Linked DNA regions of Macaca mulatta. The protein of the gene in region 6 purifies or fractionates together with the protein of the main gene of each other region. This does not show direct contact. Links are inferred from orthologs where the notes say so. Each region holds a gene or a part of one and is shown on either strand. Other genes may lie near its edges. The genes, in order: GPHN, MEPCE, SNU13, TUT1, PRP4K, PRPF4 and ZGPAT.

Evidence for each region.
Region 1: the proteins of PRPF4 (region 6) and GPHN purify together in Homo sapiens (affinity purification with mass spectrometry; 3 studies listed by BioGRID and IntAct, counting the BioPlex papers as one, with this or other methods). This does not show direct contact. The link is inferred for Macaca mulatta from reciprocal best matches to the Homo sapiens genes PRPF4 and GPHN.
Region 2: the proteins of PRPF4 (region 6) and MEPCE purify together in Homo sapiens (affinity purification with mass spectrometry; 4 studies listed by BioGRID and IntAct, with this or other methods). This does not show direct contact. The link is inferred for Macaca mulatta from reciprocal best matches to the Homo sapiens genes PRPF4 and MEPCE.
Region 3: the proteins of PRPF4 (region 6) and SNU13 purify together in Homo sapiens (affinity purification with mass spectrometry; 4 studies listed by BioGRID and IntAct, counting the BioPlex papers as one, with this or other methods). This does not show direct contact. The link is inferred for Macaca mulatta from reciprocal best matches to the Homo sapiens genes PRPF4 and SNU13.
Region 4: the proteins of PRPF4 (region 6) and TUT1 purify together in Homo sapiens (co-immunoprecipitation; 3 studies listed by BioGRID and IntAct, counting the BioPlex papers as one, with this or other methods). This does not show direct contact. The link is inferred for Macaca mulatta from reciprocal best matches to the Homo sapiens genes PRPF4 and TUT1.
Region 5: the proteins of PRPF4 (region 6) and PRP4K purify together in Homo sapiens (affinity purification with mass spectrometry; 3 studies listed by BioGRID and IntAct, with this or other methods). This does not show direct contact. The link is inferred for Macaca mulatta from reciprocal best matches to the Homo sapiens genes PRPF4 and PRP4K.
Region 7: the proteins of PRPF4 (region 6) and ZGPAT purify together in Homo sapiens (affinity purification with mass spectrometry; 4 studies listed by BioGRID and IntAct, counting the BioPlex papers as one, with this or other methods). This does not show direct contact. The link is inferred for Macaca mulatta from reciprocal best matches to the Homo sapiens genes PRPF4 and ZGPAT.

The regions. Positions count from the first base shown.
Region 1 is NC_133412.1:139,613,026-139,617,313, reverse strand, and holds the start of GPHN (gephyrin), read right to left. Parts: upstream 2,801-4,288; 5' UTR 2,710-2,800; coding exon 2,646-2,709; intron 2,595-2,645; coding exon of another isoform or gene 2,296-2,594; exon of another isoform or gene 1-2,295. Other genes in the region: uncharacterized protein LOC144330299, read left to right, coding at 2,296-2,594. UniProt on the Homo sapiens protein: Microtubule-associated protein involved in membrane protein-cytoskeleton interactions. It is thought to anchor the inhibitory glycine receptor (GLYR) to subsynaptic microtubules.
Region 2 is NC_133408.1:47,626,440-47,630,718, reverse strand, and holds the start of MEPCE (7SK snRNA methylphosphate capping enzyme), read right to left. Parts: upstream 2,801-4,279; 5' UTR 2,403-2,800; coding exon 732-2,402; intron 474-731; exon of another isoform or gene 392-473; intron 1-391. UniProt on the Homo sapiens protein: S-adenosyl-L-methionine-dependent methyltransferase that adds a methylphosphate cap at the 5'-end of 7SK snRNA (7SK RNA), leading to stabilize it.
Region 3 is NC_133415.1:9,821,489-9,825,614, reverse strand, and holds the start of SNU13 (NHP2-like protein 1), read right to left. Parts: upstream 2,801-4,126; 5' UTR 2,718-2,800; coding exon of another isoform or gene 2,715-2,717; exon of another isoform or gene 1,027-2,714; intron 699-1,026; exon of another isoform or gene 449-698; intron 1-448.
Region 4 is NC_133419.1:11,486,117-11,489,616, reverse strand, and holds part of TUT1 (speckle targeted PIP5K1A-regulated poly(A) polymerase), read right to left. Parts: intron 3,355-3,500; coding exon 3,254-3,354; intron 1,067-3,253; exon of another isoform or gene 861-1,066; coding exon 391-860; exon of another isoform or gene 337-390; intron 1-336. UniProt on the Homo sapiens protein: Poly(A) polymerase that creates the 3'-poly(A) tail of specific pre-mRNAs. Localizes to nuclear speckles together with PIP5K1A and mediates polyadenylation of a select set of mRNAs, such as HMOX1.
Region 5 is NC_133409.1:179,203,391-179,206,890, forward strand, and holds part of PRP4K (serine/threonine-protein kinase PRP4 homolog), read right to left. Parts: intron 1,449-3,500; coding exon 1,275-1,448; intron 1-1,274. UniProt on the Homo sapiens protein: Serine/threonine kinase involved in spliceosomal assembly as well as mitosis and signaling regulation. Connects chromatin mediated regulation of transcription and pre-mRNA splicing.
Region 6 is NC_133420.1:45,022,425-45,025,924, forward strand, and holds the end of PRPF4 (U4/U6 small nuclear ribonucleoprotein Prp4), read right to left. Parts: intron 1,633-3,500; coding exon 1,510-1,632; intron 1,399-1,509; coding exon 1,291-1,398; intron 1,201-1,290; coding exon 1,082-1,200; intron 567-1,081; coding exon 373-566; 3' UTR 72-372; downstream 1-71. UniProt on the Homo sapiens protein: Plays a role in pre-mRNA splicing as component of the U4/U6-U5 tri-snRNP complex that is involved in spliceosome assembly, and as component of the precatalytic spliceosome (spliceosome B complex).
Region 7 is NC_133415.1:116,592,814-116,595,172, reverse strand, and holds part of ZGPAT (zinc finger CCCH-type with G patch domain-containing protein), read right to left. Parts: intron 933-2,359; coding exon 799-932; intron 587-798; exon of another isoform or gene 564-586; coding exon 411-563; exon of another isoform or gene 1-410. UniProt on the Homo sapiens protein: Transcription repressor that specifically binds the 5'-GGAG[GA]A[GA]A-3' consensus sequence. Represses transcription by recruiting the chromatin multiprotein complex NuRD to target promoters.

The DNA.
Region 1 (4,288 bases), on a different chromosome or scaffold from region 6:
GAAGTTCTAGAATACACAAATTTGCATAGCACAGCTTCATTTTTGTAAGTTCTTTCCTCAAAATCATGTATCAGGCAAGACCACAGAAATTAAGCTGTTGATAATGAAACCCACTAGTTACAGACTTGAGAAAAATCAGTTTTCTTTCCTCTCCATCACAGTAGACAATATCTGTATCAATAACTTTTCAAGAAAAAGCGTAAGTTATTTCTGACTTCAAATATACATGTTACCATCAAAACCTACTTTCCTCTATTACCACTTTTTCCAAATCTGTAGCTGCCTTTTCATTCCTTCAGCTACATCCTTCTTCCTGGCCCTGGACTACTGTACCTCATTCTCATAATAGCTTCCCCTGATTGTCTTTAATTCCACTGTCAATGTTAATGTTATCTTCTCTCTGACATTTTACCTATGCCACCTACCTATTCCACTTGAGCTTTCCAAGGCCTTTATATTACATTTTTATTCTGCTCAGGAGCCTCACCATCAACTACATATTTATTTATAAAGTGGCAGCTGACTTTCAACTCCCCTTAAAATTGCCAGTTTCTTCTTGACTCTAGCAAATGTATTAAATTCTCCCTTCAGGTAGTCATATTTGCTCCTAATCCATCTGAATATGGAATTTCTTTTGCAGTTAACCCCAAACTCATAGAAAATGTATTTAGAAAAGTTTTGCACAATAATTACATGCAATGTTTCTTGAGTTGTTTGCCTATCAATGTTATCCATATCAGACTGTAGGGACACGAGATAAGGTCTGCATCTTTCAAAGCAGTCTGTACAACACCTACCTGCTATGTCACTTCACAAAGCTAAGATGATTCGTTAAATGAAACTATTATTTAATGGAAAGCTTAAGCAGAAATGTTCATTTTAAAAATAGTTCTACAGTTTAACTTTTAAACATCTACGGCCTTTTTTATTTCCACAGACAACTGACATATTTTGGTTTCTCACTACTCTATTAATTGTTAAAGAATGGCTAGAATTTAAAGTGCAAGTTGAGGGTAGATAAAGGATATACACTTTCACATCCCATCATCAGATTATTCGAAAATTGGCAATGTCAGTTCCAGGAATTCTGAAATACAACTGAATCTTCACATAACCAAACAGTTTCAGGATCAAAAGAAGAGAACCGCGTACCTTTCTGATTTGGGGGTTCCCTTTTCTGCAATTGGTTTAGACTAGTTTCACTACCAAAGGATCTTTTGATTAGGAAAATTCAATTAATCACCATCGATATACGGAAACAATACCAGGGAAAGGCAATCCTTTACTTAAAAGAGAGAAAAGGAGGCTTTGGATATCACCTTTTCATAAAATTCAGCAACTAAATTAAGCTTTGCACTCAGTATCTGCCGGCAGCCTCAGACCTTTTTTTTCTACCTAATAATAAAAGCAAGTCTTATTCAATTTAGTCCCTTCTCGAGCACCGTCTCGACCTGTCAGAATTTGGCAGTTAAAAAAAATTTTTTTAAAAGAAGTAAGGGAAACACTAGGATTCCCGTACACATTGCTTCTTTTTCCGAAATCACATCACTGAGTCTTGAGCTTCCTTCACTCCAAACTAAGCCCTCAGATTCCAAATATAGTTCTTTAACCCCCGCCTCGCCACTCAATTACACATAAACCTTGCCAACTACAGAACCACAGCAGAAACCCCTACAAATCGGCTTGGCGTTCATCTTGGAAGTCATGCCCTGCAGCAACTGCCGATCGCCGAAGTGACGGATATTAACCACATTCAGCGCAACGGAATCAGACATGCAGAGCACACACGGCTTTCGCGAGGGAGGGAAACGCGACCCGGGAAAAGTGCGCTCCTCACCAGCCTCGGGACGCTCCACCGGGGTGGGGGTTCCCAGAAAGGAGGGGGAGAGGAGCCCGAGTAGGGGAATCCTGCCCTCTCAAGTAAAAAGAGCTGGATCCCCCGGCCGCAAGCTGCAGCCCGTCCTCGCTAAGGAAACGACGAGGCAGAGGGCCCTTTGCTCGGTAAGGCAGAAGGCAGACACTTTCTGAGGTCCGGATCAAGCCGATCCCCCATCCCCCGAAGGAGGCGAAGGGTGCCCCATGGGTGGCTGAGGGGATGCCCGGCCCGCGAGGGACAACCCGAGGAGAAGCAGTTTCATCTGATTAACACCTGAGTCGCGTCCGGGCAAGCACAGCTACTGGCGTGGGGCCGCCCGGGTTGGGGGAAGGGAAAGGGAGGAAGGGGGTGGAGATGGGATTCCCCCCTCTCTCAGAAGAGCACTAACGGAGGATGCGTCCGGGCCAGCCGAGAGCGGCATGCTTCAGACTGCGGAGCCGGGATCCCGCCGCCTGCACCGACAGCAAGGATCCCGCAGCGCCCTCCGCACCGGCCCCTCGGTCCCCGGGGGCCCAGGACTTTGTTTCCGAAGGCGCTGGGGCCTGACATCCCACGGGGTCGACCACGGCTCCGGCGGGCTGGGGAAAGGGACCCGCGGGAACACCCCCAATCTCTGGCGGTTCTCAGCGGTTGTAAAATGCACCCCCGCGGTTCCCTTCTTCAGCCTTCCCTCCTCCCGAGGCCGCAGAGAAGGGCCACCACAGGCGAAAAGCCTAAGGCAAGTCAGGGACTGCAGCCTCATAGGTCCCGCACCTCCTCCCCCGGTTACCTGTAAGGACTCCGACACGGATTTGATGGTCGTGGTTAGTAAGGATCATTCCCTCGGTCGCCATGTTTCCCAGCGCAGTCACCGCACTGACAGGAGCCGGGAGAAATTGGAGCCCGGAGCGCGCGGGCCGGGAGCGCGCTCGCCGCGGAGAGCGCGAGAGCTAGGGAGCCAGGGAAGCGCGAGGAGAGCGGGGAAGGAGTGGGAGGCCGTAGAGTGCTCGGTGGCCTGCGTGGGGGAGAGGCCGCGCCGGGAGTGCACGGGTCCGCGGGAGGGGGCGGAGTCAGGGCGCGCGACCCCAAGCCCGGCAGGAAGGAGGCGAGCTGGAGGGGTCGGTGGCCGCACGGGGAGAGCGCGCGGAGGCGGCGGAACGAGGCTGGAGAGGCTCGGGCCGCTCTGCGGAGCGCGAGACCCAAGGCAGCTAGATGGCAGGACTGAGAGGAAAGGAGAGCACACGCTCTGGAGGTTGCGGGGGCGGACTCGGGGACAGGGGCGGAGCTACACCCTGAGGCGTGGAACTCGTGGAGAGTGAGGGGAGGAGTGAGAGCTCGGGTGCTGAGTACTGGGAGCGGGAAGGAGCGGGAAGGAGCGGGCCCAGCCTGAGTAGGACCGCGGATCGCTCCTGGGTGCGCGAGTAGCGCGGGATTGGCTGAGTGAACGCGGAGCGTGTGCGCGCTAGGCAGGAACGCAACCTCGGCCGGGCCCCAGACAGAAGCAATCCCCTGCCGAGCCTGACACCTCGTCGGTTGTCCGCGCCTTCGGAAGACTGTAGCCGGCGGGCCGGCCTTCTGAGGGGACCGCGGGAGGAGCGACACTGGCTCAGCACGCCGGGCCGCGTCTTGCAGCCCTCGGGAGCGGCCGGCCGCCCCACTGAAGGCGCTGGCGAACCTAGAGGTGCCTTAAAAAGCTGCGTTTGAGTGGCAGAACGACGGCTACTATGATAGAGAGCCTGCCGTGGGCGAAGAGGGAGGTATCCTGTCCCGCCCAGTGTTAGCCGCTGGCTTCCTCAGTCGGCTCTCCCTGAAGGAAGATTTCCGCTTCACCTGTGTTTTAGGATTCCATCTCCAGTCAGTGCCTACAAGACGATCCTCACATGCGAAGCTTAGGAGTCTGAGGCAGGGCAACTGGAGTGGAGACACCTGGCTTCTCTTCCTCCTGCTGTCCCACGGTTTTATGGCCTTAAGCCTCTTCGCCGTGAGAGCTGCTTTTAGGTGAAAAGCATCTATCTCCTTAGCGAACGAGAACGTGTTCCACCTGAATCACAGTCCATTGCCGCAACGATTCTCATTTCAGTATTCGTGGGATGTGAGATTACCATGAAAATAGCTTTTGTTGCCATTTATTTCCATGTGCCTTTCATGAAACGTGTTATTAATCACCTGTGGCTGTTCTACGTTAGTTTCTTACTATCTTTCTGGACCTTTCAGCTTCTGAATTTTAAAAAGTTATATGCGTGTGTGTGTGTGTGTGTATACACACACTCATATGTATATATTTTTTCTTCTTAGCTGTAGTAAACCTGGAGGCATAAAAGTGAAAAGCAAAGTGAAAAATGTATAATATCAGTGTTTATACACAAATTTCAAAGTCACTTTGATTGTTTTGTTTTTTAATCCGGAGTCTCGCTCTGTCGCCAGGCTAGAGGG
Region 2 (4,279 bases), on a different chromosome or scaffold from region 6:
CAACCCTCTAAAAAGACCATTCTTCAAGGCTTAACCCAATGCAATGCCAAAGATCCCAGCAGGCGGCCTAACTGGAGAGTTCTCTGGGGAGCTGTGTGGGGTCAGGGGACTCCGTGGGGCATGGGGCTCTCCTCTCTGCAGAGGAGTTTCTGGTTCTTCCCTCTCCCATTATCTAGGGTCAATGTGGAGAGGATCTACAGCCAAGTCACTTGGGTTCCTGACACTCTTCACAAACTGTCTAGAAAAACAAAAGCTGCTGATGGGAGCAAGGTGGCTATCAAAGGGCAGAAACGCCAATATTAGTCTGCTGCTACCCTAATCTCCCTAGAAGACATTCCATGCCCGACCCCCATCTCAGGCTCCTTCAGTCAACCTGAGGACCAAGTTCCACCTGGATCGAATTCCCTAGTGAGCAGCAGCCTTCAAGGGAAGGGAAGGTGGACCAGTGTGGATTATAGGCCAAGCCCAGAGCACTGCAAAAAAAAAAAAAGAGAGTCTTCCTTTATCTTGGAGATCCTTGCAGTCATGAGAAAGGACTCCAGGGTCAATGCCCCAAGGTAGAGACCCCACCTTTCCAGGTTATAAGAGGGGAGAGATGCCCAGCAGAGACTCTCACTTGCCAACCCAGACCTCTCTTTTGAGGAACTGGGTCATAACCTTCCCTGCCACATTCCCGTTTAATCTCATCTTCACACCTGACCCCTATTCCAAGAGCCTCTGGACCCTCTTACCGTGACGAAGACAACATTGTTGGGGAAGACTGATGTGTCCGCTCCATCCAAGGGCACTTGGGGGGCAGCGATGGGACCCCGGCTGGCAGTCAGCGAGGCTGGGAAGCAGCTCCTCTTTCGAACGGTGGTGGTCCCTTCCTCACCCTCTGCCCCCGGGTCCCCTTCCACAGTCTGGGGTGGGAGACGCAGCTCCTCGGAAAGGTAGTGTCGGATGTTCTGACGGGCAGAATGGATGAGCCGGGAATCTATATCCAAGCCCACCATGCGGGACGGGCCCCACTTGCAGGCAATGCTCAGGGTCAGATGGCCCACATTGCAGCCCAGATCTAGGACGTCCCGGCCCCGAAACCACTCAGGCTTCAACACCCGAAGGCGCCCATCCTCACAGGAAGGATTGCGGTACCCATAGTATTTGCAGTAATTCCCATACTGGAACTTGCGCTGTTGCTTTTTGAAGCCTGCTGCAGGCAGTGGGTGGTGGTGGTGGTGACGGCCTCCCCAACTCCCTCGGCCCTTTTCCTTGGAACCCTGGCCTCCACCCCTAGCCCCTGCCTCCGACTTGCTGGAAGTCCTGCGACGTTTGCGATGTCGGGAGGAGGAAGATGGGGGTGCAGAGGTAACTGAGGCAGCTGGAGGGGCTGATAGGGAGCCTGAGGGACCCTGTAGAGCAGATGGAAGCGGAGACACCACTTCATCCCTGCAGTTGATGGCTGTGTTGAGTTCATAGGGTTGGGGGGCATCCCGGTTCTGGCCTCTGTGCCGCGGCTGCTGTGAGGCGCCCTCCCCGTGGAGTGAGGGGGTGAGAGGGGCTGTGGGCAGCACGGGGTGGCTCTCACTCCCTCCGGCTGCCTGCTGCTGCTGGTGGTGCTGTCCCCGGTGTCTATGCCGCTTCCGACCAGTCTTGAGTGGCGAAGCAAGAACTACATGGCCCTCATCAGTGCAAGTATTGAGACTGAGCGGGTCAGTAATATCTTTGGGGATGAGGATCTCCACTGGATCTCGCCCTTTGGCCGGAAGGGGGGATGACTTAGGGGTCTCTGCGTTGAGGGCGCGGCTCACTTCCTCATCCAGGAGGCTATTCAGGTTCAGGGGATCAAAGATATTGCCCCCCAGGAGGAAGTTGGAGGGTAACACAGAGTCACAGTCCGAATTCACCCGCCTGCGCCTCTTGAAGGCCGGATGTTTAAAGCCTCCCCCACCTCCCCCTACATTACAGCTATTTCTCCTCTTGCCCCCGCCCCCCCCAGGTGGCCGGTGGGGCTGATAGCCATTGCGGGGTCGAGGAGGAGCAGGGGGACCCAGCTCTGTCCCGCCCCCTCCCCGGCGCTCCTCCCCCACGTCCGGGGGAGCGGCTCGCCCCGGGGGATCCGACAGGCGGGCCTCCCCGTGCGACTGCGCCTGGGGGCCGCCTCCTCGGTGCTGCTGCGCCTGGGGACCACCGGGGGGGGTGGCCGCGGCCCCGGGGCTCTCTCGACCGACCCCAGCGGCCGGGGACCCCGCAGACGGCGCGCAAGGACCCGGACCACGCTCCGTCCCGCCGCAGAGCTCCCCAGAGGCGGCCTCTTGGTGCGGTGGCACAGTGGGGCCGCCCCCTCCGCCCGACTCATCTTTGAGCGGCGGCGGCGGGGCCGGCACCAGAAACGGCTCCTTCTCCGCCGCCATCTCGATCATTTCCTCCCCTTATTCCGTCCCAGTCGGGGTAACGAGGGGGATCAGGGGGCTTAACCCCCCCTGCCTGGACCCTGCTCCCTTCCCCCCCTTTCCCGAGTGCGCGCGCAGCTCTGCTCTTCTCGCCTAGTCTCGCGCCCAAGCGCCTCCCCGCGAAGTGCGCCCCACTCGCCCGCGAGACCAAAACAAGATGCCCGCGACACCCGAACTACTCGAGCACTCAACCGCGCGTGCGCCGACCCCTTTCTCCTCCGCCACTACCACCCCGCCGCGAGCGCGCACGGCAAGCGCGCGTTCCCTTCGCCCCGGAACCACGCATGCGCACTCCGCCACCACCCTGGTTGCGCGCGCATCGGAGTACGAACCAACTTAACGGCTCTGGGAGTTTAAATATAACCCCCCACACAGCCCCCGCAAAAGCCCACCACCCCAAACTGACACCCTACTTCCCTGCGCAGCTAGGTCCGGCCCTACTGATCTCCTTTGTCTCTGCCGCGCGATCCCACCCACCGTAGGCGGGGGACGGGACCTGGTGTGAAAAGGTCTCCTTGACACCCGACCCTTGTTCCTGAGGAATGAGTCTCAGCGGTCTCCACCCGGCTCTAAATCCAACAACCTCCCCACCCCGCCTCCTTCCTCCCCCTAGTGGGCAGCGCCTGCGCACACCCTTTTGGGCTTGCGCGGGTACAGGCAGCACGTGCTGGAGGTGGCGCCCCGCCTCCCGTCTTAGGGGTAGGGCCTGTGACGTCGCTTCCTTAAGTTTGGTAAACGCAGCGTGCGTCAGCGCGATCCGGAGGGGCAGGGCTTCCCGACGAAGGGCGGTGCTCATGAATTATTCATGAGCTGTTGGTAGCACACCTCCCCCCTCTGCCCATCTTCTTAGAAGCGCTTCCGAAGGAGCAGAGAGACCCTACAAAGCCGAGGAAGGGCAGGAGTGGAACTGGGCTCAGTAAAACGCGATAGGTCATTATAACTCACCCCCCTCGAAAATATTCTCTGCTGAATTGGGGAAAAAGAAAAAGCACTAAAACAGCCGGTGTTGTCCAACTTCCTCTTCCCCCGAAACGGCTGAGTCGTTCTCTGGTTCCTCTGCCTTCCCCCAATCGCAATCACCTGGAGACGCCACACCACGCCTTCCTCTCCGCCTCCACACCCACGGCCCGGACCCCAACGCCTCCGCCCATTCCCGACGCCCGCTCACTGGCCCGTCAGCTCACGGGCCTCCCCAAACGCCCGCCGCGGCGCCGCGCCGACTTATATACCAGAGAGTGTGGGCGGGGACGGGGGTTCGGTCCGCGCTGGGCCCCCCCCCCCGCTTCGGCCAATGAGGAAGAAGCGAATCTACGGCGTTTTCCCGGGGAGATTCGCAGCCCGGTCTTCCTGCCAGCGGAGTGCTGGGCCGAGGAGCGGGTGACAGGGGTGACAGTGGGGTCCCGGAAAGTCTCAAATAAAATCCTAAAGTGAGGGCGTGAAGGAGACCAGCAGGAAGAGGAGGAATCAGGGAACGGAAAGAGGGAGGAAAAGGCAATCTGAAACAGAGAAAAGTTAGTAAGATGTGCTTCAAGAACAATCAGGCGCTGCGGCCGCCGCCTAAAAATATGTGACACCAAAGAGGATTCTGGGATTTGTAGTTTTCCCGGGACGTTCGGGTGAAAGATGGCGGAATTACCTCAGCCGCGGAAACGCAGACGCTGTTTCCAGTTGCGCATGCGCCTCAGACTCCGCGAGCGCGCCTCCCGGGGGTGGAGCTAGCGCGCCCGACGTCCTCGTGCCTTTTCTTGGTGGCGGGAAACCTGGGTTGAGGTGTGAGAGGCTTGCGGAGTCGCTGCGCCAGCTGGTTTTGCACCTCGCCTTTAGGTCCTCCTTGCTCCTGAAGGTAG
Region 3 (4,126 bases), on a different chromosome or scaffold from region 6:
AGCTGGGATTACAGGCATGCGCCACCATGCCAGGCTAAATTTTGTATTATTAGTATAGAGACAGGGTTTTGCCGTGTTGGCCAGGCTGGTCTACAACTCCTGACCTTGTGATTCGCCCGCCTCGGCCTCCCAAAGTGCTGAGATTACAGGCGTGAGCCACCGCACCCGGCCAACACCTGGCTAATTAAAAAAAAAATTGTTTAGGTTGAGTACGGTGGCTCACGCCTGTAATCCCAGCTCTTTGGGAGGCCGAGGCAGGCAGATTACTTGAGGTCAGGAGTTTGAGACCAGCCTGACCAACACAGCAAAACCCTGTCTCTATTAAAAAACAAAAACAAAAAATAGCTGGGCGTGGTGGTGCGTGCCTGTAATCCCAGCTACTTGGGAGGCTGAGACAGGAGAATCGCTTGAACCCGGGAGACAGAGGTTTCAGTGAGTCGAGATCCACCTGCCTCGGCCTCCCAAAGTGCTGGGATTAAAGGTGTGAGCCACCACATCCGGCCATACAAATATGTTTTATTTGATACTACAGTAGGGATTTTATTTTTTTTTTGGGACAGAGTCTTGCTTTGTCACCCAGGCTGTAGTGCAGTGGCACGATGTCAGCTCACTGCAACCACGGCCTCCCCGGATATAGTGATTCTTCTGCCTCAGCCTCCTAAGTAGCTGGGATTACAGGTATGCACCGCCATGCCCGCCTAATTTTTGTATTTTTAGTAGAGATGGGGTTTCACCATGTTGGTCATGCTGGTCTTGAACTCTTGACCTCATGATCCGCCCACCTCGGCCTCCCAAAGTGCTGGGATTACAGGTGTGAGCCACCGTACCCGGCTGGAAATTTTGGTTAATAATTTATCACCTTTTATTTTATTTATTTATATTTTTTGAGACGGAGTCTCACACTGTCACCCGGGCTGAAGTGCAGTGGCGCGATCTTGGCTCACTGCAACCTCTGCCTCCCAGGTTCAAGCGATTCTCCTTGCCTCAGCCTCCCAAAGAGCTGGGATTACAGGTGCCCGCCACCACGCCTGGCTAATTTTTTTGTATTTTTAGTAGACAGGGTTTCACTATGTTGGCCAGGCAGGTCTTGAACTCCTGACCCCATAATCCACCCGCCTTGGCCTCCCAAAGTGCTGGGATTACAGGCATGAGGCACCGTGCCTGGCCCTGTCCCACATTTTAAAATAGATATACTTAAAAATATTATGTGGAACCCCCAAAGTACATACAACTATGATATGTCAATTTAAAAAAACTTTTAAAATTGCTGTTGTTTCCAACAACCCATTCTCTGGAAATCAGGATCCTCAACTCTCAATAAATATCAAATTCATAAGAGGAAAACTTCAGGAATCTGAACAGCCATCAAATACCTAAATGTTTCACTATTAGTAAACAAAAAGTTAAACTCAATTTTAAAACCAAACTACCTAGCTTATAAACACTAATTGAAACTTGCTTAGGGTGTATTTATTCGCCTTTCAATTTCTTCAGAGGTTAAATAAATTAATGAATGATAGCATACCACCAGCCAACCTAAATCCGTACCTAGCGTGATCAGTTTGGTTTCCCTGTACACCAGACAGCCAAAACTTGCAAGGTTTTGATTGGACAACAAATACTGCGTGCTCACTCTGTGCCAAGCATGAGGACTAGATGTTTAACATGCTTTATTTCATCTGATCCTCACAACATCCTGATGCACTGTCATTCCCATTTTACAGTTGAGGAAAACTGCAAAGTTCAACCTGAGACCATCCGATTCCAAAACGTTTCAGGGAACTGCATAAAAGCGAGCACTGAGTTTGAAAGCTTCGAGTTCTAGGCTCAGCCACGCACTAAGCTTCAAAATGCATGGGAGGAGGTTTGGGGGGAGTGCTACCGCCGGGATCCAAGCTCCGCTGGAAGGATTAACTATAAACGTTACAGTGCTTTGCAAATTCTTCCCTCCTCACCAAGTGCCAACCAAAACGACTACGCCAGGACACACGTTTTAGAACTTTCCCTAGATATTTAAAAGTCAGAGACGACCAAGAATTCAGAGACGCCGCACGTGGTGCTACCAGACTTCTGGGTTTTGAAGCCACCACCTTGCGGGAGAAGCCCTTCCTGCGCTCCAGGCCGTGAGTCGCGCTCACTTCATGTTCCCCACAGCCCCCAATTGCCAAAGTCTCCTCTAGGTCCCTGGCGCGTGTGACTCGCGGCGAGCACTAGGCGCACACCCACAGGAGATCTCCTGGACCCCAGCAACGGGGGTGGGGTGAGGTAGGGTGGGTAGGAGAGGTTGATCCGAATCCCAGGGTCCCACGCCATCGTAGATTTCGTACTTAAAGAAACAAGGGGAAAAAAAAGTTGGAGCCAAATTTTCTTCACCCAACTTTTTGCCCTCTCCCACGTGGGTTGGTCTCTTTCTCCCGCTAGGCCATGCCCCCTCCGCTCGCCGCAGACCTTCTGCCACGCAAACAGATCGTGCGGCAAAGCACCACAGCAGCGGGGATCCCTGAGGTTTCCTGAGTTCTAACCTCGAGTTCTAACCTCGGGCCAGGCTGTTGGGAACCCGCGGCTGCTGGAGTTCTAACTCAGGGCCCGGCGGTTAAGACCCAGCGCCGGCGGATGAGACGGCGCAGGGTCTAAGCCTTCATCTAACAGGCCAGGGAGTGAACGCAACCCCGAGTCTCCTGCTTCCCGGTCCCTTGGCCGGCGCACGCACTCACCATGGCTGCTGTTCCGCGGGCTCGGCACTTCTAGGAGAGCGCAGCCGACTTCTGAGCAGCGTTCGCCTCCACCGGAAAAACTCACTGAAGCAGCAGCGGAAACGGCCCCGCGCGGCAGGAAGCAAAGATGACGCTACGCAAGCGAGCTAGCGGGCCCCGCCCCCTACGGGGCACTGGCGCGGAAACTGGCTCTGTGTTGATGAAGGAACGTACTTTGGCGTTCTTATGAGCTGTCCAGTACAAATTATTGGCAGAAACAATGAATTAAAGATTCAAAAAATAACCCACCAGTCGGTCGCAGTGGCTTATGCCTGTAATCCTAGCACTTTGGGAGGCCGAGGCGGGCGGATCACTTGAGGACAGGAGTTCAAGACCAGCCTGGCCAACATGGCGAAACCCCGTCTCTACTAAAAATACAAAAATTAGCCAGGCGTGGTGGCGGGCGCCTGCAAACTCAGCTACTTGGGAGGCTGAAGCAGGAGAATCGCTTGAACCCCGGAGGTGGAGGCTGCAGTGAGCTGAGATCGTGCCACTGCACTCCAGCACTCCTGCTGGGGCAACAGAGCAAGACTCAAAGACCAAAAAAACAAAACAAAACAAAACAAAACAAAACAAGGCCGGGCGCGGTGGCTCACGCTTGTGATCCCAGCACTTTGGGAAGCTGAGGCGAGCGGATCACCTGAGGTTGAGAGTTCGAGACCAGCCTGACCAACACGGAGAAACCCCTGTCTCTACTAAAAATATAAAATTAGCCGAGGGTGGTGGCGCATGCCTGTAATCCCAGCTACTCGGCAGATTGAGGCGGGAGAATCGCTTGAACCTGGGAGGCGGAAGTTGCAGTGAGCAGAGATTGCGCCATTGCACTCCAGCCTGGGCAACAAGAGCAAAACTCGGTCTGAAAAAAAAAAAAATTCAGCCACTAAACGGTTAAGTCCTGGCTCATTATGATTGGCTGACGTCCCTGCCTGCTCAGATATTTATTTTGAATAGAACCTTTGGGTAAAAGAGTCTTCAGGGTAGCATTTATTTTCCCACCAACACTGATCCTAAGATGGGAAAAGTAATTACCCCATGGGAAATCAGGATACTGCAAGCAACGAGAAAGGGATGCTGAGTGGTTAAACAATAATACCTGTATTCAATACAGTGTTTATTAAATGTTTGATAATAGATAGAAGGACAGGCAGATCCAAGTATCTCATAGGAAGAAAGAAATCAAGCAGACTGCAGGTTATATAACCCCATCACACATTCAGGGAACTTAATCTCTTCATTCCAGAGGATGGGGTTGTTTAAAACAAGTTCTTCCTCTTAATTACTTTTGAGCAATTCCCCAATACTGTCCTTACCTGCACCAAGAGCATGCTAGCCAGCCCTGGCACCAGGGTCAGAGTTGAGGATGGGGCATCAGC
Region 4 (3,500 bases), on a different chromosome or scaffold from region 6:
ACTTGAGACTTGGCAGGTGCAGGAGTTTCCCAAGCCAGACTCCCTCCTGGCGCACCCCAGAATTCTCAGCCGGCCTGCCCCAAAGAAAAGTATGGTGCCTCACGCCTGTAATGCCAGCACTCTGGGAGGCCGAGGCAGGCGGATCACCTGAGGTTGGGAGTTCGAGACCAGCCTAACCAACGTGGAGGAACCCCGTCTCTACTAAAAATACAAAATTAGCCGGGCATGGTGGCGCATGCCTGTAATTCCAGCTACTTGGGAGGCTGAGGCAGGAGAATCACTTGAACCCGGGAGGCGGAGGTTGCAGTGAGCCAAGATGGTGCCATTGCACTCCAGCCTGGGCAACAAGAGCAAAATGTTGTCTCAAAAAAAAGAAAAAAAGAAAGATACCGGTTACTGAGGGAGATGTCACCGTGGAGACCTGAAGGCCGATGACAGAACTTGACCACAGGGCGCCGGGCGGAGGGCACAGTTTGGACTCGATACACCCCAGGGACACAGCCCCGGAGAATGGATCCCACCAGCTCCAGCATTGCTGCCCCTTCTGCTTTCTCCCGCTTTGGGGCCTCTGCTAGTTCCAGGGCCTTCCCCAGGTCCCCCTCTCCCCTATCCTCCAGCAGTGGTGAGGCTGGAGGCAGAGACTGGGGAGAAGCAAGGGTCTCAGAGGCCAAGGCAGAGTCTGGAGTTTGGGGTGCCAGGGAGGAGGAAGGGGTTTCAAAGTCCAGGGCTTCAGAATCCTGGGGAGAAGCTGGAGATTGTGAATCTGGAGGGGAGGCTGGGGTGCAGGCCAGGGCTTGAGGGTCCAGTGGCGAAGCCAGGGCCGAGTCCAGCGATGGAGATTCTGGAGCCTTTGGGACTGGCTGTGGACAGAAATGAGCTGAGTGAAATGCTTCTGCTGTCCCCTAAGCAGAGAACATCTCTATCCCCAAGATAATATCACTTCCAGCTTATTCAGCTCTATGCTAAGGGCTTTATACATATTAACTCATTTAATCTTCACACCAACCTTTTTTTTTAAAGATAACCTTTTAATTCTATAAAATAAAAGGTCTACCTCTGCAAAAAATGTCATTATCGCGAAAGACAAAAACAGAGGAACTATTACAAACTAAAGAAGACTAAACAGAAACCATAACAGTCCATTGTCAGGACAGCTGACCAAATTAGAGTATGGAATGTAAAGTCTAAAGGTTTACATTTGTATCAATGTAACATTTTCTCAACTTGACAATGGTACTGTGGTTATACACTAGAATACCTTTGTTCTTGCATAACACACATTGAAATATTGAGGGGTAAAGGAATGTGATACATGCAACCTCTCAGATGATTCAGAAAATACAAATAAAGAAAGTGTGTAGAGAACGACAAAAAGAATGATAAAACATTTAAAAACTCCTGTTGCGGGGGCAGCAGGCATATAGGAACTCTACTTTCTGCTCACTTTTGCTGTGAATCTAACACTGCTCTAAAAAATAAAGTCTTTTTTTTTTTTTTGAGATGGAGTCTCAATCTGTCATCCAGGCTGGAGTGCAGTGGCACGATCTTGGTTCACTGCAACCTCCGCCTCCCGGGTTCAAGCTGTCTCTCCTGCCTCAGCCTCCGGAGTAGCTGGGATTACAGGCGAACGCCACCATTCCCGGCTGATTTTTCTATTTTTAGTAGAGACGGCGTTTCACCATGTTAGCCAGGCTGGTCTCAAATTCCTGACCTCAGGTGATCCACCTGCCTTGGCCTTCCAAAGTGCTGGGATCACACAGGCGTGAACCACTGCGCCCCGCCAAGTCTATTTTTTGAAAATAATAATAGGCTGGGCATGCGGGCTTATACCTGTAATCCCAGCAATTTGGGAGAATGAGGCAGGAGGATTCCTTGAGCCTAGGAGTTCAAGACCAGCCTGGGCAACATAGTGAGACCCTATTTCTAAGTAATAATAATTATCTTTTTCTATTCCTAAAACAGAATCTGTACATTAGATGTTAGAAAATACAGGTGCCGGGCGCGGTGGCTCACGCCTATAATCCCAGCACTTTGGGAGGCCGAGGCGGGCGGATCACAAGGTCAGGAGATCGAGACCACGGTAAAACCCCGTCTCTACTAAAAATACAAAAAATTAGCCGGGCACGGTTGTGGGCGCCTGTAGTCCCAGCTACTCGGGAGGCTGAGGCAGGAGAATGGCGTGAACCCGGGAGGCGGAGCTTGCAGTGAGCCGAGATCCGGCCACTGCACTCCAGCCTGGGCGACAGAGCGAGACTCCGTCTCAAAAAAAAAAAAAAAAAAAAATAGAAAACACAGGTAAGTGGCCGGGCATGGTAGCTCATTCCTGTAATCCCAACACTTTGGGAGGCCAAGGTGGGTGGATCACTTTAGGCCAAGAGTCCAAGACCAGCCTGGCCTACATGGAGAAACCCCATCTCTACTAAAAATACAGAAAATTAGCCAGGCATGGTGGTGTGTGCCTGTATTCCGAGCTACTTGGGAGACTGAGGCACGAGAATCACTTGAACCCAGAAGGTGGAGGTTGCAGTGAGTAGAGATCACAGCACTGTACTCCAGCTTGGGTGACAGAGTTAGACTGTGTCTCAAAAAAACAAAAAAAAAAGAAAGAAAGAAAATACACAGAGCAAAACTAAAAGGACCTTATTGTATAATTTTTAATATATTTTTTCCAAAATAAAATCATATTGTACACACCATTTTGAAAATTTTTTTTGTTACGACTGCCAGGTATCCATGTCAATTCATTTTTTCTTTCTTTTTTTTTTTTTTTTTTTTGAGGAGGAGTCTCCCTCTGTCACCCAGGTTGTAGTGCAGTGGTGCAATCTTGGCTCACTGCAACCTCTGCCTCCTGCATTCAAGGTGATTCTCCTGCTTTAGCCTCCCAAGTAGCTGGAACTACAGGTGCACACCACCATGCCCAGTGTATTTTGTTTTTAGTAGAGACGGGGTTTCGCTATATGTTGGCCAGACAGGTCTTGAACTCCTGACCTCAGGTGATCCGCCAACCTCAGCCTCCCAAAGTGCTGGGATTATAGGTGTGAGCCACCTTGCCTGGCCCTGTCAGTTCATTTTCATCCCATCTAATACTCATCCATATTCACATCTCTCCAATTACAATAAATCCTTTCAGGTAGGTCCTATTATCTGCATTGTAGATGAGGAACTAAGGCATGGAGAGCTAAAGGACTTGCCCACAGTCACATGGCCATTCTCATGGACTCTTCCCAGCTGCCTCCCTGGGGCACTCACTCACCTGGGGCTCTTCCAAGTCACCCAGATCCAAGAAGAGGTCAAGATCACAGCCATGGACATCGAAGCTATTTATGGAAGAGCCAAAAGGGTGGACCACACAGCCTGGGTGCCAAGCAGAGAAGAAAGGTCAAGAGAAGTTAGGGAGGAGCAGGGGGAGGAAGAACAAAAGGGAGCACAAAGATGGAAAAGCAACCAAACACTTCCAGCGGAGGGAGGACTGGGGATATAGACGCAGGGGAGCAAAGGCC
Region 5 (3,500 bases), on a different chromosome or scaffold from region 6:
CACAAGAAATTTTTTATAAAAAGGGGAGAGAGAAAAAAGCAAGTCGTAAGATGAGCTTGGAGCCAGCAGACTAGCCGTCTCAGAAGGCAGGTCCTCTCTGCCCTCCTCCCCCAACTATTTGCCCAGCAATGAATACATACATGATCACAATGATTATACTGACTCTAGAAGAACAAAAACGTGTGATGAAAATAGGCAAAAGAGAAACATGGGTGAGGGGGGGTATTAAAAACCCTCATTGTGGCTGCGTGCAGCAGCTCATGCTTCTAATCCCCGCACTTCAGGAGGCAGAGACGGGCGGATCACTTGGGGTCAGGAGTTTGAGACCAGCCTGACCAACATGGTGAAACTCCACCTCTATTTAAAAAAATACAAAAAAAAAAAAAAAAAATTTAGCCGGGCATGGTGGCACGCGCACCTCTGTAGTCCCAGCTACTTGAGAGGCTGAGGCAGAAGAATTGCTTGAACTCGGGAGGTGGAGGTTGCAGTGAGATTGCGCCATTGCACTCCAGCCTGGGCAACAGAGTGAGACTTTGTCTAAAAAAAAAACAAATAAATAAAACCCCTCATTGTCCAGAGTGTACTCAGACCATGCATTTCCACTTCTAGGAATACAGCATACAAAAATTCTGAGAGATATGTAGAGATGACTACAATATAAGCCTTTGTTTTTTAAGAATTACATTCATTTATTACTTCAATTAAAAATGTTAAAAGATGGGCGAACAAATACCCATTTATGTTTTATATCAAAATATTTCATGTATGTATGAATTTTAAAAAATGATTCCCTGCTTTATAAACCACCTTTTTAACCTACTACTGATTACATATGCTTCAGATAAAGTGGTTTCTATGGCAAATTAAATAGGCCTTGGCCAAAGTCTACAGTAACTATCAATATGCAAAATTAATATAAAATGATAAGAAACTGGACTACATATTTACTACTATATGATCTACCTTGCCAGTTAAAAAAAAAAAAAATCCCTAAGCCTGGCTCATTTAATATTTATCTCTCATAAAAGAGAGAAAAAAGTCCTACTCTTAAAAGATTAATTTTATTGCATCTTAAATGAGTAATGATTTGGTTAAAATTCAAAGGAAACGATATAAAAGAAAACCCACGTGTAAAGACTGCTGGTAAAAGGAAACTGGGAACACAACTACGATTTTTCAGAGAAAACTGGTCAAAAGAAAACCTACCAACTGAGCTCATGGGTGGTTTAAAAACATTCAGAGTTTAATGAATCACAAGGATGAAATGTCTTTACCTTCTCCGAGGAGACCTGCTTCTTCTTCTTGGAGACCTGCTACGTCTGAGTGGGGAACGAGACCTCCTTCTAATGGGAGACCTACTTCTTCTTCGGGTTGGAGACCATCTATTGATGGGGCTGGCATCTTTTGATCTTTCACGTCTACTGAGGATATCATCTCGAGGTCGTGTTCTTAAGGGGATCAAATGCAAGTTAAAAGAAAAATAAATCAAAGTAAATGATTTTTTTTCTATATGCAAGGAATATCTGTAAGAAAAGGCACACTAGCCTAAAGAGAGTGAACTCTAATTAATGTGTTTTGTAACAAAACTTACTCAGATGGCCACAATGACATTTTAGTGTTATTGCAGGCAAACAATGAAAGGTCTTATTTCCTCTGGTCCCACAATTTGAAGAATTACTAAAGGTTATTCATACCAGTAAAGTTACTGATTCTAATTTCAAATAAACAACCCAAATAAAACCTGCCCACGTGAGTATAATATTCCATTTACTCAAATATCCCATTTCCATTGAAGACTTTTTCTTTCTACATTTTGACATTTCTCCAATTAAGGATCTCTTCTTTTTTTTTTTTTTTTTGAGACAGGGTCTAACTCTGTCACCTAGACTGGAGTGCAGTGGCGCGAACATGGGTCACTGCAGCCTTGACCTCCCAGGCTCAGGCAATCCTTCCATTTCAGCCCGCCCTGAGTAGCTGGAACCGTTAAGGGTATGCCACCACACCTGACTAATTTTGTTTTGTAGTGATGGGGGTCTCGCTGTGTTGCCCAGGTTGGTCTCGAACTCCTGGCCTCAAGTGGTTCTCCCTTGGCCTCCAAAAGTGCTGAGGTTACAGGCGTGAGCCACCATGCCTGGCCAAAAATCTTATTTTTAATGTCAAGTATAATAGGCCAGGCACAGTGGTTCACACTTGTAATCCCAGCACTTTCAGAGGCTGAGGGAGGATCACCTGAGCCCACGAGGTTGAGGCTGCAGTAGCTGTGTTTGTGCCATTGCAGCCCAAGTGACAGAGTGAGAACTTGTCTCAAAAAACCAAAAACAATAGCTAGGTGTGGTGGCTCACACTCGTAATCCCAGCACTTTGGGAAGCTGAGGCAGACGGATCACTTAAGCTCAGGAGTTTGAGACCAGCCTGGGTAACATGGCGAAACCCTATCTCTACAAAAAATATAAAAATTAGACAAGTGTGGTGGCATGTGAAGATAGTCCCAACTACTAGGGAGGCTCAAGTGGGAGGATGGCGTGAGTCTGGGAGGCAGAAGCTGCAGTGAGCAGAGATAATGCCACTGCACTCCAGCCTGGATGACAAGAGTGTGACCTTGCCTCCAGCCTCCCCAAAAAACCCCACAAAAACCCAACTTTTCAATACTTATCACAGAAGTACCTTTCAGTGAGTTTTACTCGTTTAATGTGATATTTGTATTACAACAGGCCTTTCTACAGCTTAATTTTTCAAAACAGGTTTTGAACATTTCTTAATGTTATTCCAGGTTTGGACACAACTATTTAATCTGAACAGTCAGACTGTAAATAGGTTTGTCTACATAATCAAATAATAACATTACAGTATTTTCCTAATTTATTATTATTTTTTGAGACGGAGTTTAGTTCTTGTTGTCCAGGCTGTAGTGCAATGGTGTGATCTCGGCTCACTGCAACCTCCATCTCCCAGCTTCAAGCGATTCTCCTGCCTCAGCCTCGAGTAGCTGGGATTACAGGCATGAGCCATCACACCCAGCTAATTTTGTATTTTTAGTAGAGACAGGATTTCTCCATGTCGGTCAAGCTGGTCTCGAACTCCCGACCTCAGGTGATCCACCTGTCCCAGCCTCCCCAAAGCGCTGGACTACAGGCGTGAGCCATTGCACCCAGCCTTCCTCATTTAATAAAAACCTAAAAACACAACCTGTCTTGCATGTTTCAGCACAGTATACAGAACCCAAGAATCTTTCTCTGATCCAGCCAAAATGAGCAAGGTAGACTTTGACTCAGATCTGCAGTGCTTACTTCTTGGTAGTGCTTTCTTGATAGGGTCATCTGAGGAAACTCTTATTTAATCTGCTCGCCCACACGCGCAATCTCAAAGACCAGTTAAAAAATGTAAACGGGCCAGGCACAGTGGCTCATGCCTGTAATTCCAACATTTTGGGAGACCAAGGCAGGCGATCACTTGAGGTCAAGAGTTCGAGAACAGCCTGGCCAACATGGGGAAACCTCGTC
Region 6 (3,500 bases):
CCATGTTGCTCAGGCTAGTCTTGGACTTCTGAGCTCCAGTGATCTGCCCAACTCAGCCTCCCAAAGTGCTAGGATTACAGGCATGAACCACCATGCCTGGCCAAACAAAAGATTAATAAAAACAATGTCTACACAGTTCATGGCAGGGCATAAAAAGGTAATAAATTTTCAACCATGAGATGGGTTCACCATTACCTAGGGATTGGGCCGCCTGCCTGGAGTGGGGGCTGACATGGAAATCCAATTCTAGTGAGGGTCTACGCATGGTAATTGGCAGAAAACATGATAGAACTAAACATTTCAATTCTTCTCTTTTGAGGAAAACAGCTCCTTAGAAAGAGCTTGAGGTTCAAGTCCTTTCTCCACTGTCATCTATTCAGCCATCCAGAGCTTGAAGGTCCTATCATATGAGCAAGTGGCTATGAGCTGCCCATCGGAAGAAATATCTAGGCCCATCACTTTGCCTTCATGGCCGGCCAGAGTCTTCAGCGGGGACCAGCCTGGGTGCGTCCAGATCTTGGCTGTGTTATCATAGGCACCCGTAAGCAAGAAGTTCCCATGGATAGCTACAGAAGAGAAGGGGAATTGCTTGAGGAATTCAGGTATTCAAAAGAGAAGACAACAAAAGCACAAAAGTCTGCAAAAACATACTATTTTTAAAAAACTTATTTCTACATTCAGAAAAAGTCAACATTGATTCTGTCTTCCTACTAGGCCTCCAGGTAAAGGGGATAACCCAAGGCAGACTTAAGGGAACAAATAACAGTAAGGTCCTCTGGCTCATTCCCTGACTGTAAATCTGTTCAGAATAATATTTAGAATTCAGTGCTCAGAGCATCCATGGGGGAAAGAATGAAGCAAAGCACTCATGAAAGTCTTTACTTCCAGCAACGAGAAGCATGCTTTCCCACAGATCTAAGGGTATGGCAGGGGGAAGGAAATTATAATTTGCTCCTTTACCAGTAGGTCAAATTCTCTCCTGTTCTACTTCTCAGTTTAAGCTAAAGTCTGGCCTGTATTGCACGGGAACACAATACTGTTTGTCTGTGTCATTTAGATCTAAAATAGGAGGAAAGCTTACGCTCAAACTTCACACCAGTCACTAAGTTCTGATGAGCAGGGATGGTGTAGACGCAACGCCGCTGTCGAAGGTCCCACACTTTGCAGGTGTTGTCACCACTGCCGGTTGCAATATGATAGCTGTGGATCGGATGCAGTACTGAAGTTAGAAATAGAGTACTTTCTGACCCAGAACCCTTTTTCACCCCTCATTCAGTGTGTTTATTTTACCCATTGGGGGAGAAATTTATTCCATAGATTTCTTTCAGGTGGCCTTCTAAGAACATGATACAACGTCCTGTGCGTAGGTCCCAAACTCGACCAAATGCATCCAGTCCCCTGATAAAATAATTTATAAATGAACACTTTGAATCCAGTTCTCTGTGGAAGCACGCATACATAAGAGGTGAGAGTACTGAGCTGCCCCTGGCTACATGGGAGAAGCCTTACCCAGTGCCAGCCAAAGAGCCATCTTGATGGAAGGCAATGTCATACACACCCATGCTGTGGCCTTCCTGATGCAGGATCTCCTCTTGAGCCTCCAAATCCCATAATCGCCATGAACGGTCATAGCTAAAACCAAATCACACTAACAATCAACCAGCTGGTATTTATCCAGTTTCTACAACATATAAAGTATTGTAAGTCATTATAGCTTGTTATTAATGCTTCTGAAACTATTCATATAACCATATTAACAGGAAGCTCCTTTCTGACATAAACAATGACTCAACAACTAAGCTTATCTGCCTTAGGTGCTGACTGAAAACCATGGACTCGCTATAAACCTCTAGTGCCTATTTATTTATTTATTTATTTTTGAGACAGAGTCTCACTCTGTTGCCCAGCCTGGAGTACAGTGGCGCAATCTCGGCTCACTGCCAGCTCCACTTCCTGGGTTCAAGTCATCCTCCTGCCTCAGCCTTCTACGTAGCTGGGACTACAGGTGTGCACCACCATGCCCAGCTAATTTTTGTATTTTTCGTAGAGATGGGATTTCACTATGTTGGCCAGGCTGGTCTCGAACTCCTGAGCTCAGGTGATCCACCTACCTTGTTCTCCCAAAGTGCTGGGATTACAGGTGTGAGCCACCGTGCCCAACCTAGCGGCTATTTTAACAGGATTCCCCAAGAATGGCCCAGCAAAGACTGTGTTGCCTTCTTCCTTCTTCCACTGTTATGCTCTTTCATTTATCAAGCATTTATACATTTACTAGGCCCTAAAATGGATGTTGGGAATACAAAAATCACTCACAGACAAATAGATCAACGGAAGAGAATAGGAAGTACAGAAATAACCACACATACATGGTCAGATGATTTTCAACAAGGGTACTGAAACATTTCCAACAGAGAAAGGAAAGTCTCTTCAGTACACAGTGGTGTAACTGACTATGCACATGGAAATAAAGACAAAAGAGACAAACTCAATTAAAAAAAACAGGCAAAGCATATGACAGGGCACTCAAGAGCAACAGTGATCAGGGTAATAAGAATGAAAATCATGGGAGATCACTACACACCTGCTAGATTGGGCAAAATGGTAAGTCTGACAATACCAAATGTTAACAGGGATGTGAAGTAACCAGAACTCCGGGAATGTAAAATGGTGTAACCGTTTTGGAAAACTGGTGGGGAGTTTAGAAAAAGTTAAATATACGTCTAATACCTCTACCCTATGACCCAGCAATTTGTACTCATGTCCACAAAAAGCCTGGTACAAGAATATTTATAGCAGCTTCATTCCGACTGGCCCAAACCTGGAAACAGCCCAAGTGTCCATCAACAGGAGAATGGATAAACTATGGCACAGTCATAAAAATGAACAACCCCCAGCAATAAAAAGGAATTACTGATACATGCAACAACATGAATGACTCTTAACAATGTTATGCTGAGAGAAAGAAGCCTGCCACAAATGAATTCACACAGTATGAATAGACGTAATTAATTTATGGTGATAGAAGTCAGATCAGCAGTTGCTTCAGAAGGGGAGTTGGCTGGAAAAGGGCATGAGGGACCTTTCTGGGGTGATGGGACTGTTCTCTACATTGACAGGGGTGTGGGTCACAGGAATGGTACACATTTGTAAAGAATGATAGCTTTGTACACAAAATAAATCCATTCCATTGTATGTAAATTACAGCTTAATGAAAAAGTTCTCTAGCAGATTCTAGCCTCTCTGAACTTACAGAACCAGGAAGGGAGACTTACATACCTGTAGCATTGGACAAAAGTGAAAATCCTTGTTTTCTGGTAATTTGTAACTCTGAAATTTCAGATCAATTGTAATTTAAAGGCAAATATGACTGGGTGCGGTGCCTCATGCCTATAATCCCAGCACTTTGGGAGGCCGAGGCAGGAAGATCACTTGACGTCAGGAGTTCAAGACCAGCCTGGCCAACATGGTGAAACCCTGTCTCTACCAAAAATAAAAAATTA
Region 7 (2,359 bases), on a different chromosome or scaffold from region 6:
CTGTCTGCCAGGATCCACCAGGCACCCAGGTCCCAAGTTTGAGAAGCCATGCAGAGGAGCTGCCCCTCTTGCACTCCAGGCCTCATCGGTTGTTCATTTTCTGTGACTTCCTTGGCAACTCCGGGCGCCTCCTCTCCCATGGCCACAGCCATGACCATGGCCTCCCATCAGTGAGACTGTAGTTGTTGTACCCACGCTCCTTGAAGACAAAGGCCACCACGGATCTACCCCGGCCCTTCACTCGCACTCCTGTACCCCTGCCCCACACGGCCTCCCCAGGCACGGCTGGCGCCCTCGCTGTGGCCACTCTCTCCAATAGTTTGGTTAGACGGTCGGTGCCCTCAAAAGCCAGGAGCCTCTCAGGGTGACCCCACCTTCCTGGCTCCTGGGTTCCACAGCTGCTGCCATACCTCTGGCATAGCTGGAGTCACCTGTGCCATCGCTGTCTGAGTCGGACTCTGTGGCCTCTGTGCGCAGTGGGGGCAGGATGCCGTCCCCCTCCACCACGGCCTCCCTCAGCAGCAGCGAGTCAAACTTGACTGTGTAGTAGCCATTGTCCACATCTAGAGGCAGAGACAAGCTGCAGGTCAGCATCCTTGACAGCAGCTGCCACTGATGGGGAACCACCCTGGACATCAGGAGCAAGGCAGGGCAGAGGCTGAGGGTAGATGTGCTCATTTCGGGCCCAGAGCCAGAGTCCCAACACTCATCCCAAAGGAGGCAGGGAGCAGCCACGCAGTAATAACACGTGTGGAGCCTGGGAGGGTGTTCCCGGAAGGCCTCCACGGCCAGCCTCACCGGTGATGCGCGCCGCATGCCAGAGGCCATCCTGGTGCTTGGCCAGACACGCAGAGCCGGCCTGCAGGGAGCTCAGGTCTGGGTCCTGGAAGGGGCGCAGCTCATCCAGAGGGACCACCTGCCCATGGGAGAACCTGCAGACAGAGCCATAGGGGGCAGGGCTCAGACATGGGCCACCAGGGGCAAATAAACCCAGGAGCACTGACCCATCCACCTGGGCACCATCCTGAGGGAGCCAGACACATGCATGTATACACACACACACGCACACATATACACATACATGCACATACACACATGTACACATACTCGTACACACATGCACACGCACTAACACATGCATACACGTACATACACAGGCGCACACATGCATATACACACGTACACACATACACATGCATATACACACATACACATACACTCACACATGCATACACGCATGCACACACATACACATATACGCATGCACATACACATGTACACACATACACACATGCATATAACACATAAACATGTAGTCATACACATACACACAGACCCTCACACATTTATAAACATGCACTCACACACACACTCATGCAAATACATATGCAGTCATACATGGATATACACAAGCACCCTCTCACCCACGCACATGCGCGCACACACACGCCTGCTCACACACGTGCACATGCACTCTCACCCACACACATGCGCGCACACACACGCTCTCTCACACACGTGTGCACATGCACTCACCCACACGAGCACACACATGCACACACACGCGCACAAACGTGCCCTCACCCACACATGCAGTCACCCACACACATGCGCACACACGCACTGTCACATGTACTAACATATACACCCATACACGCATATACACACACATGCACACACACAACATGCACATATGCATACAAGCACACATGCACACACGACATGCACATATGCACATACGTACACACACATGACATGCACATATGCACATACATGCATACACACTCACACTTGCACACACACATACAGTAGTCTCTTGGTATCTGTAGGAAACCCCCTGTGGACACTAAAACCCGAGGATGCTCAAGTCCCTTAGATACAATGACACAATATTTGCATACAACCTATGCACATCCTCCCATATACTTTAAATCATCCCTAGAGTACTTGCAGTACCTGATACAATGTAAACGCCATGTAAATAGTTGTTATACAGTGTACAGACGCAGCCATCCTTTTCTTCCCCAATTATTTTCGACTGGAGATTGGTTGAATTGATGGTTATGGAACCCGCGGATACCAAGGGCCAACTGTACACTTTACACACGTATGCACATGCACACATACAGTCTCTCTCACACACAAAGGGCCTACTGTACACTTTACACATGTATGCACATGCACACATACACACACACACAGTCACACACACACACATACCAAGGGTCAACTGTACACTTTACACACGTATGCACATGCACACAGTCTCTCACACTCACACGGGCCTACTGTACACTTTACACATGTACGCACATGTACACACAGTCTCACACACACTCACACAAGGGCCTACTGTACA